Linked DNA regions of Oryzias latipes. The protein of the gene in region 1 purifies or fractionates together with the protein of each later gene. This does not show direct contact. Links are inferred from orthologs where the notes say so. Each region holds a gene or a part of one and is shown in the gene's direction. Other genes may lie near its edges. The genes, in order: mcm7 and cdc6.

Region 1 (4,491 bases):
AAATACTAAAAATAGTTCTAAAAAAACACCTACTCATTCTGCTAAAACTATGTAAAGGCTAAGCTACAAAGATGAGTTGTAAGTTTTTTTCTTCACAATGTGACGTGGTCTGGCCGTACTGACCTCTGAGATCACCAGCAGACCTGCGCCTGAGGACCTGATGACAATGAAGGTCCAGTTTCATTGAAACTTTTAGAAAAAGTAATAAAAGCATCTTAAAATGGATCCTAAAGCCGACTGGGAGCTAGTGCAAAGATTTCCAAGCTGGAGTAATGTGCCGCTACTTTCAGGTTCTGGTTAAAAGGCACAATAAATATGTCCTCTATAGTCAGAAAAGAACATGTGAAAAAGACCAGAAACCCCATTTTCATTGGAGCGAGTCTGTAAAGAAGAAGTAGAGATCCTGTTGTGAGCTAGCTTTAGTTTTTGTTCAAAGTTGAGACGGTTGGAATGATCTGTAAATCAGTTTGTACGGTTAGTGTTCCGCAAACTGTTTTGGTTGTGAACTATTTGATTGTGAAGTTAAAAGCGTCCTCTGGTTGTGTTTTCTTTCAGCCTTCTACAAGGCACACCTCCGTCAGCGTCCTGGATGAGCTCTTTGACTGAAATCTTTCGGGGATCCTCCAGCCAGATCTTCTGGAGCTTCAGGAGTAAAAAGTACTTAAAAAAAAGGTTTCTTTTTCTGTTTGAGAGCTGTTGCCCTTTGTAACTTTGTTTATAAATATTTTTGTTTGTTGTAAAAGATGAAATATTTTTGAAAAGTTGAAATGTTTATATTTTATTGGAAGTAATGTTCGAAACCTGTCAGCTTTTTTATAAACTGAAAGTGCAAGGACTTCTTAGTATGTTGTATTGTTGGCAACATGTGTTTTGTTAAACAGTTTTGTTTATTTTTTTAAGACTCTTATTCAAAAGTGTTGTGTTTGGTGTTTCATCATTTTTGATTTTGTATTTCAAAATGAAATTAAATGTTGTAAAACACAGGTATCGGCCCTGATTGATATGTGTGATGGGAAAACATGTGTTAGGTTTTGAATGATTTAAACATATAAAGCAGTCAACTATATGCTTTAACAACCATGACAGATCATAAAAATAATAGAGCCATTAACCAGAGCTGAAAAAGATACCAGTGATTGCATAAAAATCTCTTACCTCTAGTTTTGTTTACACATTCAATGAGAAAAATTACCTATAAACATGTTTGCTTTTGCATTTTTTTCTATCAAACAAAATGTAGTTTAGGGTTGGATTTTGCCCTGTACCTCCTTTGTCTTGTAGGTTCAGTCTGTTCATGCAAAATCTTATCGTCACATTTCGCGCCATTCCTGACAAACTGGGCGGAAGTTTATCCAGTCACGTGAGACGTTGTCTCCAGCAACTTTCCCGCCACTATCAAATCCCGCCCCTCCTCTGTGAAAGCCGCGAAACTATTGGCTGATGCGATTGTCAGACTCGCGCCACTTTTTGCTCTCCGACCGACAGGAGCTGGGTGCTTGTGAATGAGTTCAGCACTCCAAGAATAGAAAATAAAATATCTATTTAAGCTTTACGTTTGACTTCATCTGGGCTTTGTAGCGTTGCGTTACGAATCATCTGTCGCGGAGCTGAACGCCTGCAGCCATGGCGCGAAAGGATTATGCGGCAGAGAAAGGTAAGGACTTGTGTGTCTGTGGAGAACAGCATGGCAGCAACAGGTTGGCCGGATTTCCTTTTTTGACAAATATCTTTAAACGAAAAGCAAATCGTGTGAAGCTGCATGTCGCTGAACATTTCATATGAAGATTTACGTGTTGATGATGTCATTCATTAGTGAACTTTATCTCATACACTACTTTATCTCACCTGTAATGCCAGTTTTATACTTTTAATTTCTATTTGTCGTGGTTACATTACAGCACGGTGTGTTAGAGTAACCCGTTAAGACATAACTACTCCTAAGATGGTTACTAATAAGTTGGTGAGTCGTACTTCGTTGGAGTTGGTGACTCCGCGGTGACCCGGATGGAGCCTTAAACAAAGGAGCAGGCGCCACACTCAACTTCAACGCACATGCCCTGCGATGGTGGCCCGCAGAAAGTTGACATTTCACAATGTATATAAACAGTCTGCCGCCTTTAACAACAACTTTATCTTTACGTACAAATATGAACGTATATTTTTAACCAGCATAAATAAAGTGCTTTTCATGATTGGGTAACTTCTACAATTTCCCTTTATGGTGAAAAGGCTTTTAAACACCACAAAATCACAGGTTTTGTAGTTCGTGTACACAGAGTCCAAATGTGTGGCCAAAGTAGAGACTCCAGCCTTTTTCCTGAGTGTTAGCATGCTAGCTGCGTAGCTGTTGTGGCGTCCGTGAACGGGCCATTTTGTATTTAGCGCTTCGTGCGGTGACTCAGCCGGCGCTGCTGCTGCTGCTGTAGAGCCGCGCAGTCCGTTCCCTTCCGTGAAAACAGACACGCTAACACTTCAGACTCAGGGTTTTGAACATCTATACAACGTAACTACTGACAGACCCTTTAAAAAACTTGTGTGGCAACAAGCAGAGTCAGGAAAAAACACACACAAGAACACAAAAAACGATGCAACTAAATTGTGCTCAAACACCTCTCAGTGTATGTAAACGGTACTTATTATGCGCCAAACTAGTTTTCATGCTGTTACATGGATAGTTTATGGTCCCCGGGTAAAAATAATTTATGTTACCGTTTTTGGATCAATATATTTCGGGTTTGCGCATGTTTAGAACACCCCTTGGGACTAGTTTTTGCCGTCTCCCCCCTTACCGCTGGGCTATTTATCCTATTAAAGATGCGTTTGGTCGGGGCGGCGTGTACGAATCACTACCCTGCTAGCAGCAGCTAATGATAAAAGATGGCTGGCCGCGGTTAGAAAACAACAGCATGGACTGCTTTTAAGAGCGGAGGAGCCGCGGAGGGATATGAAGTGACGCGGCACAAAAGCCATGTGCTGCTTTGTTTACAATAACATCCTCGACCAGATACGCAATAAAGCCACACTGGCGCTTTCCCGTTGCTACCTACAAGTAAGTTAAATGGTTTTTATCGCCACACAAAGGCTGTTTGTTTGTTAATTCCGTTAGTTCCGCGGTTCTGCTTCCGAAGTTGGGGTTGAAGTGTTTTCAAAAAAGAGGGGCGCCGAAGTGAATGCGCGCTTGTTGTTGTTTTATTTACAACGCGCTCTGAGGAAAATCCGCTCCAGGAAGCCCGTTTGTTGTGTACCCGAAAATCGCGCTAATGTGCGCACCTGTGCGAAAACTAGCTTCCATCAGGGCTCCGGCGGCTAATTGTGTGTTACAGTAGGCAATAGTGACTCATCGAGATTACAGGATGCCATGTTACTCAACAAAGAGGGTCGTCGCAGGACAACAAATTAGCTCCCAGTTTGCAGGCCTGCAGCTTCAAATTGATAATCATTCTGTTATAGGAATATAATGCATAAAACTGTTTTTGCCAACAGCATTCAAACCGCCTTTGTTTGTATTATTAAGACCGGGGATTTGTGTTTTGCAGAAAAGTGCAAAAGGTTCCTGCAGGAGTTTTACACAGAGGACGGCAATGGGAAGAAGGTGTTCAAGTACGGAGCACAACTTGTGAGTACAGCCAATGCACAGCACATGCATTTATGGCAGATGGAGGCGTTTCAGAGAGCGCCTGTTTTCTCTTCTCATTGTCATTATTATTCCAGTTTATCCACCATAATCTGCTTTTTAAATCAACCAACTGAGTCCTTCCCATCAGCTTGTCAACATGCTTGTTTTTCTAATAGCTTTGGTGTGTTTGTGGATAGGTGGCTTTGGCCCACAGGGAGCAGGTGGGCCTCTTTGTGGAGCTGGACGACGTGGCTGAAGAAGACCCTGAGCTGGTGGAGAGCATCAGTGAAAACGCCAAACGCTACACGGGCCTGTTTGCCGACGCCGTCCACGAGCTGCTGCCAGAGTACAAAGAGAGAGACGTGCGTTTTAGCACATTTTTTGTTGTTGTTGTTCTTATTATCTTGTTGCATGGATTATTGCAGTTTGTCTGCAAACAGAATTGTGGTCATCTTTAGTAGTTTTTTGACAATCTTACATAGCTTTGTGGTAGAAGAAACGTGTAATTGTTGTTTTGGTTCTATTGTAAAAGCATTTTCAGTGGTCTTTTAGTTATGATTGTGTTGTTTTTAGGTGAAATCCATGTCATTTCCTAGGGCAGGGTAGGAGCGGGGGCTTGTGGCCAGCATAGCTTCTACATAACAGTCTTTTGCAGAGTGGTCTTCCATCTGCTTCTGATTCACAACAATTTTGATAAATAAGTGCAATGTTAAGCTATATGTCCTCCATCATGAGAACAATGTCACCCAAAACACAATTTCCATCATAGCGGGTCTTTAAAACCGCCCCACACTGACGACGTTCTGCTGTCAGGACTACATTGTGGAAGCAAACGGAATAAAGATGAGCTCTTTTATGCTGTTTCTATCTCAACT
Region 2 (4,314 bases), on another chromosome or scaffold:
GAATTTATAAAAGTTACTGGTCAGTCCATCACATCCTGGAGCTTTATCATTGGAGAGACAGCTTAAAGCCTTCTCTAATTCCTGCAAAGTTATTTCTGAATCACAAGAATTTCTAAAATTGTCATCAATCTTAGGAATGAAATCTTTAATTGTCTGGAAAAAAGTATTATTGTGGGATTCGGAATAAGATGAAATGCAAAACGGGGGGGGGGGGGGGGGGGGGGGGTCATGTGAGATAGCACAAGGGTTAAATATTCAAATTTTCCAAAAATACAAAGTCTATCCATGCAAGTAAGTACTACATATACCTTTTGGTTTTCCAGAAAATAACTGTTCTTTATGCAATATAAACATAGAAAACACTTGGTCGTCTGTTTTTTGAATGTATATATGTTTACAGTTTTTGGGAGTTTTTTTTTTGGTGCTCATCAAAGTTTCATTTTCCTCTTTCTATTCAATTACAAAAACACAGCGTATTAACCCTTGTTCTATCTTAGATGACCCCCCCTTCCATTGAGGTGTTCTCCCTACCATGACAAAGGTGGATAAAGGTGGAAAGATTTCATGTAATCCATGGACACCAGTGAAGATCACAAATCATTGAAGAAAAAAGGTTCAGAGCTCTGTCTAGTGGGTCTAGATGACCCAACTCCCAATGTTAAAGTGCCTAGGATAGAACAAGGGTTAATTGGTGTAGTTTGTGGTAATAAATTATTATATTTGGCATTTAATACATAATATTAATATATGGATATATTAATTTCTGGGAAATTTTTCATTCATAAGAGCAGATTTTTAAAAATCAAACCATTATTAAATACATTTCATAAAGAAATCTTTTTATATTTATATTGCTGAAATTGATGAAAAACAAAAACGTAATAAAGCTGTCCATTTTTATTGAAGATCATACGTTGTATGACAAACCCTACTATTGTGAACTACAATTCTGATGTTTTTTTTATTTTCTTATTTTTTATTTATTTTATGTTGTCGGTATGTGAATGTGTGTTTCATCTTTTGAAGATCTAATAAAGAAAATAAAAACATGAAATGCATCATAAAGAACTAAACCGTAAAGAAACTGTCTTTGATCCATGACAGTTTCATCTCATATGAGCACAACGAAGAAATACAAAATGCAGTTTATTTAATTTAATTGGTTTATTAATTACAGTAATTCAGTTAATTTAAACAAACATTTTTAAAGGCAAACAAACACAAACGTCTTTACAATCCGGGGAAAACAAGGACCCGCCAAACGTAGTTCCGATTCAATTCCCGCCACCAGTTTATGTGTGAGCAGACGGAGATGACGCAACATCCGGTTGTTTAACCAATGAGCGTCGCGGCCGGCGTCATGATGACCAATCAGGGAGCAGCAGCGGGACATCCGGCGGATGGAGGAGGAGTTGCGGAGGAAATTTTGGCGCAAGTTTGATCTCAGTTCAGCGGTTCGGACAGAATCTGGATCCTGGTTTTAATCTAATCCTGCAGGACGTTTCTCTGTTTTTCAGAGGATTTCTTTAGGATCTCAGAAAGGTACGTTTATCCGCATCTGTTCGGTCTAAAGTTTAAAACCAAACTTGATAATGTTGCAGTTTGTTTGAGAGAGAAATCCGAGGGTCTGTTTCACGACAAAAGAGCACAGTTGTGGAGATTTTGTTTAAATGTTACACTCTCATTCCCGAAACCATGAATCTACATTTTTCTATTCATTATTCTGTGTTTTTCTTAAAGCAGCAAATATGTTTATGATCTGAATTCACGGTTTGATTCCCAAACTACAATTTGGCGCCATTAAAGAGCCAACTTGTTTCCTTCATAGATCTTTGTCATCATAGGGTTAACTTTTAGCGTCGATCATTAAAGATGTGATTGGATTATCATGTTACCTTACGAATGCCTTTAGGAGAAGATAAAACTCTATTATTAAGGTTAATGATCTCAGACAGACTCATTCATTCTCTGTTTAGACAAAGTTTACCCTAAATGGGAGGTTTCGATAGATCAAACGTCAGGAGACACAATTCTAATCCGCTGTCATCATAATTCTCATCCTCCTCTTGTTGTTTTTTTCATCCCAGAGTAACCATGCCGAGCACTCGCTCTCAGAGTGGATCTCAGCCCACGCTGCAGTTCCCTCGCCGTAAATCCTGCAGGGTTTCCCAGAAGACCCCACTGGCCCCTCCGTCCAAACCCGAGTCCTTCACCCCGAGTCAACTTTCACCCCAAAGGCCCGCGGACCCTCCACTGTCACCCCTCCGCCTCCCCGCCAGCCCCCCAAAGCAGCAGAGCAGCGTCCAACCTCTGTTATCACCCAGGCGACCCCGACTGCCGACTCCACCCTCCTCTCCGGCGCTCCAGACCCGGCTGCCGCTCAGTCCACGGAAGCGCACAGGTGAGACCCTGACCGTTTTTACCCCCTGCAGATGTTTACCCCAGTATAAAATTCCGTTTTTCTTCCACAGGTCAGGAAAACGGCTGCAACCTCGGCTCAGACCTGCAGGCTTCTCCTCCAAAGCAGAGCCGGCCGTCTCCAAGAAAACTGGGCAGCGACGAGAACTGCCCCGCCTCTGCTCGCAGACAGCTGATCCCCTCCTCGCCACGACAGCCACGGCGGCAGGAAACGCCCACAGGAAGTCCGGTCCAACATCACAAGGAGAGGCGGCCGCCTGTAGCTCGGCTGTTTGCAGAAAGTAAGAAGAAAAACGTCCATCAGACGATCCACAGAACATAGATTTGAGTAAATAGTTGGCTTCTCCTCTTCGTCAGACTCCAGGTTTCAGAGCGTCAAGCAGGCCCTCCACACCGCCGTCCCGGAGCGCCTGCTGTCCCGGGAGGCCGAGCAGGCGTCCATCCGCCGCTTCCTGCAGGAGAAGGTGCTGCAGCGCCGACCCGGCAGCCTTTATATCTCAGGAGCTCCGGGAACCGGCAAGACGGCCTGCCTGAACTGTGTTCTGCAGGAGATGAAGGTGAGGGGGCGACCCGCTTCATTCCGGGGTTCTAGTGAGGCCCGGGACGGCGTCTGAGTCTCAGCAGACGCCAAAGAACTGCAGTGAGGTTTGGGTTTCCTACTCTGCGTTTGCAGGGCGAGCTGGCCGGCGTTCAGGCCGTGACGGTGAACTGCATGAGTCTGAGGAGCTCGCACGCCATCTTCCCGCTGCTGGCCGACAAACTCCGAGCCCCTGGGGGGCAGAACGGCCTGCAGAGGTTCCTGACCGGCTCCGGACCCGCAGTGTGAGTGAACCAGAAGTGACTGAGCGTTGTTGGTGCACGCCCCCGCTGGCTGTGCCCTCCCCTGACGGACCGGTGTTCTCCTCAGGCTCCTGGTTCTGGACGAGATGGACCAGCTGGACAGCAAAGCTCAGGACGTCCTCTACACCATCTTTGAATGGCCGTTCCTGCCCAAGTCCCGCCTCTGTCTCATCGGTAAAACCTCCAATCGGTTCTGTTTCAACTTCTCTGTGTTTGGGTTTTGGTTCTGATTGTTCCTCTGCCTGCAGGTATTGCCAACGCTCTGGACCTGACGGACCGGATCCTGCCGCGGCTGCAGGCCCGCCTCCACTGTCGCCCCCTGCTGCTGCACTTTGCTCCCTACAGCCGGGACGAGCTGACGGCCATCGTGAAGGACCGGCTGGCACAGGTATGCGCCGCTCGGGTTCCAAGGCTTCTTGGGCCGCAGTTCTCGGTGTGACTCCGGTTTTTGCTGTGCCCGTCCTCCCAGGTGTCGGCCGAAGGGGTTCTGGACGCCTCTGCGGTCCAGTTCTGTGCCAGAAAAGTGTCTGCTGTGTCCGGAGACGCCAGGAAAGCTCTGGACATCTGCAGGTGTGTGAGGTGGTTCATGATCTGTGGTGAGGAACCGTCCTCGGTTCTGATCCGGAGTTTCCGCTGCTTTCAGGAGAGCGGTGGAGATGGTAGAATCCGACCAGAGGAAGAAAAAACTGCAGCCCGAAAACGAGAGTCCAGGTGAGGCAGACCCCCCCCTCAAGCTTCAGCTGGAGGAAGATGTTTGGTCCAAACTGAGACCGAGTCTCTTTCTGTCCCATGCAGCGTCTCGGGTCGGCCTCCCGCAGGTGGCCCGGGTTCTGTCGGAGGTTTACGGCGAGCGCATGGCGTCCCAGAGCGCGGACGGCGAGAGCTTCCCTCTGCAGCAGAAGCTGCTGGTCTGCTGCCTCCTGCTGCTCGTCCGGAGCGGGAAGAGCAGAGAGGCCAGCCTGGGGAAGGTGAGAGGTCGTCCTGAATGTCAGAACCACAGTGTCCGTGCAGACGTGTAACCGGGCCGGTCCGTTTCAGCTTCACGAGGTGTACAGC

Evidence for each region.
Region 2: the proteins of mcm7 (region 1) and cdc6 purify together in Homo sapiens (affinity purification with western blotting; 3 studies listed by BioGRID). This does not show direct contact. The link is inferred for Oryzias latipes from reciprocal best matches to the Homo sapiens genes MCM7 and CDC6.

The regions. Positions count from the first base shown.
Region 1 is NC_019868.2:6,627,225-6,631,715, forward strand, and holds the start of mcm7 (DNA replication licensing factor MCM7), read left to right. Parts: upstream 1-1,623; coding exon 1,624-1,654; intron 1,655-3,006; exon of another isoform or gene 3,007-3,049; intron 3,050-3,536; coding exon 3,537-3,616; intron 3,617-3,813; coding exon 3,814-3,978; intron 3,979-4,491. Other genes in the region: cohesin subunit SA-1, read left to right, coding at 556-606. UniProt on the Homo sapiens protein: Acts as a component of the MCM2-7 complex (MCM complex) which is the replicative helicase essential for 'once per cell cycle' DNA replication initiation and elongation in eukaryotic cells.
Region 2 is NC_019859.2:2,063,543-2,067,856, forward strand, and holds the start of cdc6 (cell division control protein 6 homolog), read left to right. Parts: upstream 1-1,433; 5' UTR 1,434-1,542; intron 1,543-2,087; 5' UTR 2,088-2,094; coding exon 2,095-2,401; intron 2,402-2,471; coding exon 2,472-2,699; intron 2,700-2,775; coding exon 2,776-2,975; intron 2,976-3,091; coding exon 3,092-3,240; intron 3,241-3,325; coding exon 3,326-3,432; intron 3,433-3,506; coding exon 3,507-3,646; intron 3,647-3,727; coding exon 3,728-3,828; intron 3,829-3,901; coding exon 3,902-4,226; intron 4,227-4,296; coding exon 4,297-4,314. UniProt on the Homo sapiens protein: Involved in the initiation of DNA replication. Also participates in checkpoint controls that ensure DNA replication is completed before mitosis is initiated.